Caenorhabditis elegans: one gene and its partner. The protein of the gene in region 1 interacts with the protein of each later gene in a pairwise test. Each region holds a gene or a part of one and is shown on either strand. Other genes may lie near its edges.

Evidence for each region. The genes of interacting proteins can lie anywhere in the genome.
Region 2: the proteins of unc-75 (region 1) and C16B8.3 interact in a two-hybrid assay, tested with the Caenorhabditis elegans proteins (one large-scale study listed by BioGRID).

What each region holds. Positions count from the first base shown.
Region 1 is NC_003279.8:11,590,465-11,595,274, forward strand, and holds the start of unc-75 (RRM domain-containing protein), read left to right. Parts: upstream 1-1,781; 5' UTR 1,782-1,837; coding exon 1,838-1,942; intron 1,943-3,462; coding exon 3,463-3,556; intron 3,557-3,745; coding exon 3,746-3,840; intron 3,841-4,662; exon of another isoform or gene 4,663-4,734; intron 4,735-4,810.
Region 2 is NC_003284.9:3,967,613-3,970,224, reverse strand, and holds C16B8.3 (Annexin A7), read left to right. Parts: upstream 1-1,590; coding exon 1,591-2,085; downstream 2,086-2,612.

The DNA.
Region 1 (4,810 bases):
GATACTCTAATGGATACTCTAGTTTTTGATACCTTTCGAACATGGTGCATCGACTCTCTTCGTAAAAAACAATGCTAAATACCAAATTTTCTCTAACTTTATATTACATGCCGTCTAAGTTGAATAAGGCCCATAGCTAGGTTTTGGACATGGTGCATCGACCAAGGCAGCTCTTTTCTCTGTAGGTTATCAAAAAGTGTCAACTATCTACTTTTTTACAATTATATAGTTGAGCACTTTCTGATGCTCCTTTCTAAACATTTTCAAGATCACAAGTGTAAAGTGTAACACCAAAGAATCCCCACAATAAACATGGCTTCCTGTTTTTTGTAATAGAACTGATATTCTGAATCTGTCAACAATATTGAGCTCTATTGAGCATCAGCTTTGTCAAATTTTGTAGCCTCTAATTTTGATGCGTTACACAGTCGCCGCTCAGCCAATTTCAAAACCCCCGCAAGGCTCTGAAAGGCAAAGATCTCCTTAATCGTGGCTCTTCTTGAGATGAGGTGCTCTTTCAAGCTCCTCCTCTCTCCCAATCTCTCACCACCTGCGTCTCCAGCGTCACGTCTTCATGAAGAGGGGTGCGCGAGTGGGGGGACTGAGCAGCACGGCTTCTTCTTCTTCTTTCTCTTTTCACTCTCTTTTTGGCTTCTTCTTCTTCCCCTTCAGCTTCTCGAACACTCACTAGCTTCCATGAATTGTAGCGGCTCTCTCTCTCACTTTCCCTGACTTAGTTACGCCACAATTTTATATTATTTTCGGGATTTTTTATATTCCAGTAATATTATTTCTTTGTGACGTGCTCGTTACTTCTGAAAATCTGTAAAAATTGAAGAAAAAAAATTAGTAGTCCAGGCCTAGAACTAGGCTTCCAAGGCCCTTATTTGAGTATAAAATTTAGTAGTTAAAAGGAGCATGCAAAAATTAAAAAAAATTTAATTAATTTCCAAAAAAACTTTTGTTTTTTTGAATGTTTCAAAAGGAGTTTTCCAGTTTTCTTTCTTACAATTAGTAAAAATGTTTTTTTTTCACTCCAATACTTTTCATTTGACCCCCATGGGTCCCGCCACGAAAACCTGCCGGACTACTGTAGGTTTCGTGGTGGGACCCAAAATAAAGAGACTTGGATGCCAAATGAAAAAATGAATACCTAGAAAAATTTTAAAAAAAGTTCCAGCGTTTTTGTAAAAAAAATTTTGCTGTGCAACTATTATACCCTCCAATTTTCCAGGCCATATACTTCGGTTCATTTTCAAAAAAAAATTTCAATTTCCTAAAATTTCCTCTAGAAAACTATAGAAAAAAAGTTTTTTAAAATAATTTTCTTTTCAAATTTTTGATGAAATCAAAGTAAACTGAGTTGCAGCACTATGTCTGATCTTTACCAATTTTTATGGACTATATCTCGGCCTATTTGAGCTATAATTAAAGAAATTTTACTACAAAAATATAGAAAACCACTTAATAAACACTTTGTCAGTTAATTTTATTTTGATAAAATTAAAAGCAACTGAGCTAAAAGCTGTAGAATAGCTGTAGACATATCTTGATCGATGCACTATGTCTGATCTTTACCAATTTTTATGGACTATATCTCGGCCTATTTGAGCTATAATTTGAACATTTTAACTACAGAAATATAGAAAACTACTTAATAAACATTTTGTCAGTTAACTTTGTTTTGGTAAAAGATTTTTCAATTTTTGTCTCTAATTTTTGTTCTTGCTTCCAAATTATCCATCTAACATATGTAAATTGTTGATTATTCACAAATTTGCAGCTTGTCACCATTCCACCGACAGTTGCACTTGCTCCGGCTCCGTCGGCTGCTGATATGGGGCAGCAGCAGCACGAGATGCGCGCCAGTAGCACCTCGTCGACAGATTCAAATGGGTTTCCGGTGAAGGATCCGGATGCTATTAAGCTTTTTGTCGGGCAGGTTGGTTGGGCTGAAAATTGAAAAAAATTGGGGTTTGTGGAATTTCTGAAAATATAGATTTTCAAAACTTTGTTAGACTGCGTGTTAGGTCCCGCCGCAAAGCAGGGGTACTGTAGTTGTCGTGGTGAGACCCACAACTTTAAAATTGGGGGGATTCTAGGCAATATGGGGGTGGATTTTTGTGAAAAGTTTTTGATTTTTTTTTGATTTTTCAATTTTCTTAGAAACCTTAACTTTTCCCATTTCCCTCTACAAATCGCGTGACGCTGATACCCTCCCTCTCTCCCCATTTGTGAAGCCCATTCTGCACCAAATTTGCTCTTTTCCCTCCCCCTCTACACCACGCGGATATCTCCCGGCGTCTCGCATACTCCATCGTCAGAGTGTGTGTCAAGTTTGTCGCTGTGCTCCGCGAGCAAGATCGATATGAGCACCCAGAAACCCGGGGGGACACAGGCGGTTCGGAGCATATTAGGGAATATTGGATTAAGGGAATATGAGTAGAAGGGAAACGTTTCTCATAGAATTTATAATTATATTCTATGAAAATCTAGAAACTAAAATTATTAGCTACTCAGTAGTTTTTACAGAACTTAAAAATATCGATTTTGAGTCAAGTTATGGCGATTTGAAGTTAGTGGCCTAGAATTTGAAAACTACTAATCACGCTAGTTACATTTTTCAGCTATAACTTATATTTTGAAATTTGAAAAAATATCGATTTTCAGGCAAGCTAGAGAAATCTGAAGGTGGTGGCCTAGGATTTTTCTAGGCCACCAACTTAAACTCACTTGAACTCGGCTCGAAGTCAACATTTTAAAGTCTGAAAAATGTTGTGATTTAAAAAAAAATAATAATTACTATTATTTTGTATCGTATCAAACTTTTTTGCGCTCAAAAAATATTGATTTAGAGCCAAGTTAGAGCGGTTTTAAGTTGATGACCTAGAAATGCAAAGTTAGGCCATGGATTGTTTTTAAAATTGCTATAATAGTGTTAACTGAGCACATTTTGTAACAATTTTCAAAATTCAGAAATTATGATTTTAAGCCAAGTTATAGCGGTTTTAAGTTGGTGGCATAGAAAAATCCTAGGCCACCAACTTGAAACGGTCATAACTTGACTGAAAGTTAATATTTTTAAATTTTGAAAAATGTATTAAACTTAAGAATATATTAATATATCTATTCTTCAAGTTTAAGTAATAATGGCCTAGTTTTTTGTGTTATTTGGTTTTCTAGGCCGCCAACTTTAAAATGATGTCACTTGGCGGAAAATCGATAATTTTTTAAAATTCAAAATGATGTCAGTGTACAAAACACTCGCAAAAAGTGAAAAATATTAAATTGATTTTCAGTTAATGGCCTAACATTTTGTATTTCTAGGCCACCAACTTCGAACCGTTTTAAAAATTACAAATGTAATAGATTTTATGAAATATTTAGCGTTGTAATAAATGTTTATAAAAAAATTTATTTGGAAATTTTTAAATTCGCAAAAAGTTATATCTAAGAATTCAGATCCCCCGAAACTTGGAAGAGAAAGATCTACGTCACCTATTTGAGCAATTTGGTAAAATATATGAATTCACAATTCTTAAGGACAAATATACAGGTAAGCAGAAAAATTAAACTTTTGTTTTTTTTTCAACAAAAAATGTTTTTGAAAAAAAAAATCCAAAAAAAAAAAATTTTTTTGCTAGATAAAATTTCCCCACAAAATTTTCTTACTACTACCAGAAGCCTGACAGGGTGTGGTTAGAGTACCGGAATCACGGTTCATTAGAAATTGAAATGCATTCAGGTATGCACAAAGGCTGCGCATTTCTCACCTACTGCCATCGAGACAGCGCCGTCCGCTGTCAGGCGACACTTCACGATCAGAAAACGCTGCCTGGAGTGAGTATTCGTTTGCCTTTTGGAAAAATGAAATGTTTGTTTTGAAAATATAGAAAATGCTCTGAATATTTGTTTTTAAAACTTTGAAAAATCTTGATTTGAATTAAAGTTATGGCCAATTGAAGTTGGTGGCCTAGAAACCCAAATTGATGGCCTAGAATTTTTTTCAATCTAAAATTTGAGTTGTTAGTATAGTAGATAAACATTCATACTGTATATCTAGTTTTTTAATTTCTGAAAAATCACGATTTTACGCAAAATTATGGTCAGATGAAGTAGGTGGCCTAGAAAATCAAATGGGTGGCTTAGAAAATTTAAAAATGTATATTTTATAAGTTCACTAGTTGAGTTTTCGCTAAGTTTTGTGGTTTTGAAGTTCGTGGCCTAGAATTTTCAAAATTGATAATTTTTAAAAAATTTTAAATTGAAAACACATTTAAAAATTCACTAGACTTTTCAAAAACATCAAAATATATTCAATTTTAACAAAGGTATGATATTTTAAAGTTGGTGGCCTAGAAATCCAAAAATCGGCCACGACCTCTTATTTTGCGTGGAACGTCGTATCGTGTTGGCAGCGTTTTTTAGAATTCAAAAACAACAATAAAGTTACAGAAGCTTTTATGTGATGGCCTAGAATTTTAACTGAAATTTCTAGGTCACCAATTTAAAATTTTTTGCCATAACTTGGTTCAAAATAATATTTTCAAAATCTGAAAAATGAAAAAAAAAAAGCTTGCCGACGATGACTCCATCGAATAGATCAAAAACTGAACTCAGCAAAAAAACGTGGCCTAACTTTCACTTTTCTAGGCCACCAAGGCCCAAAAAGTGAAACGCTTCAAACGGTGGCCTAGAAACTCAAAAAGCTAGACGAAAAGAAAAATTTGAGCAAATTGACCGCAGTTCCGTTGCGAAAAACGAATTTTTGCGCGGCGGCTTGTGCCGGAAATTTCTGATTGAATTTAGT
Region 2 (2,612 bases), on another chromosome or scaffold:
CCATATGCATAATACATCAAAAGCATATAACCATTCGCTACAAGGAAAAAAGTAAGTGGGCCGGACCGGGGATCGATCCCGGGACCTCTCGCACCCTAAGCGAGAATCATACCACTAGACCATCCGGCCACGTCTCGTCGTGAACGCCTCTTCCTACACATGCACGCTCTCGTGAATAGCGCTCTGCGTGTGGTCGACTAGTCACAAACCAATAAACAAGTCTATCTGCGTCTCTACTAAACAAGAAAACTCTGAACGCAGTAAGCATTGACCTTGAAAATGCAGAGTATGACTTTTTCGAAAGTTTTGGTTAGGAATAGGATTTCTAACAATCAAAATTGCTAATCGTGAGAAATTGTTTTAATATAATTCAAATTACTTTTCATAATTATTATAATTTTCACAAATTGTTAAACTCGTAGAAGATGATGTAAATATGAATGTATTCCGCGATCAAATACATTAATAATACATAAAAAAATATTCAAAGCCTTTTCTTACAATTCCCCATAATTTTACTGAATGTGTCTCACGATTCGATCAAAATACAAGTTTTCAAAGTTACATGCTGAAAATGCTTAAAAGAGTAAAAGGAATGGGCCGAACCGGGGATTGAACCCGGGACCTCTCGCACCCAAAGCGAGAATCATACCACTAGACCATTCGGCCACATGTTTCCAATGTCAAAATCATGTGAAGACACTAGGTGGTCAGAGAACTGATCCGCAAACATGTTCGGAATAGAACAGGTGCGAAATGCATAGGCGCAGAAAATCTTAGCTAGGAAGTGTATTGATCGGCCTTTCTGGTTTGCAAAACGGACTGAAATAGTTATTAAAATTACACGGATTCAAGAACTAATACACAATAAAATTCATTGAAGTTGAAAAACAAAATTAAATCGTAATTGAGTTTCAAAAGTCTGTTAAAATTGTAAAAGAAACTTACAGACCCAATAGGGTTGAAAGTTGTCCGGATGGCTCAGTCTGGATGGTTGTCGCGGTCAAACTTAAGGTCAGCATTTCTTACCTCCAGACTACAGCCAGTCTTTCCTGAAAAGTCGAGCGAAGCTTGGATTTAACTTACAACAAGACCGACGGAGAGCAGACTGGCTTAATTCAAGAAAAAGTTTTGAATTTTAAAATATTGCCCTGATCTTTTCCATTCTTCCTGATAATTTTTTTGACGTTTGTATTTGATTGGCATTCCAGTTTGACATTTCGATATTATTCCTATTATAAATTCAAATGAATGTAATCTTCCTTCCCATTGAATCATCCAGAAGGTCATGTCCATGATCTATCCTCATGACTCATGGATTGCAAAGAAAGTTTCAAAATATACACTGAAAACGCCCTCGTTTCTTTTTTGTTCATTCGTTTCCATATACGTCATTGTTTGCTCTTCTCTATGGAAAAACGAGAAACTTCTTCTGACAATGCAAACTGATAACCGTATCACATTGTGAAACCTTCTCGTTTTTGAGGCAATAGGCGGATCGCAAACTAACAACTCACAATCGATCGTTTTTCAACCTTTCTGTTTGATTTTTTTCCCTTTTAAACCCCTCAACTTACACTTTTTCTTCAGATGTACGGCCGTCGCACGTGCAGTTCTTCCTCCTCAAGTTCTTCCTCTAGTGACGGTTCTTATCGTTCCCCAGTTGGCTTCGGTGTTACTCCAATTATGCCTCTTCCATATGGAGCCCCTCCACCACCAGTTGGCGCCGGAGTTGGATATGCTCCACCGCCACCAAGACCTTACGGAGCCACATATGCACCCCCACCACCTATGGGAATCGGTGCTGGAGTGAATCCTAGTGGATATGTCCAACAAGCCCCACCACTCCCAACCCAAGGATACTCGGCGTACAACCAACAACCACCTCCACTTCCACAGCAACCCTATCAAACTAACATGTATCCAAGCAACCCAGGATACTCAAGCACACCAGGCTATCCACAACAGCAGCCATATCAAATTGGAACCGGAGCCACGCCAGCCGGTATGTACCCACCACCACCAACAGGGCAATATCCTCCACCTCCACCCGGACAGTATCCAGGATATCCAAGACCATATTGAGTTAATATGTAAGCTTTTGTATACCTTTTGTACTACTAATCAATTTAATATACCATGTTTTTTCTTGCTGTTTGAATTGCCAAATAAATGTTAAAACTGTTCAATGTTCTTTTCAAAAATTTTAAGAAATACTCCAACAACTATTGGTTGGTTTGAGTGTCAGTGGCACGTGGAAATGTTTGAAAATTACCTTTAGAATAATTTTACTTGATTTGTCTATTTATGCATTCAACATTTATTGTTAACTTTCATAAATCCTATTGTTCCAATAGATGCAATATTGGACACATAATCAACTTGTCTAAATTAGTTCTGATTGTGGTTTGATATAACAGTTCGATACTATAGGTCTAGGAAATATTCGATTCGATGTCACAATATTAAACATAAATCTTCAAGTGATTTCTGTGAAAATCAAATGAATTCTATGATCTCCAGTAAGTCGGACGCTAATTCAACGAGTATTATTTGATTATTACTGGAACCCATCAAAGCAACTCTGGAACCCATTAAGAGTAAAACAAAAA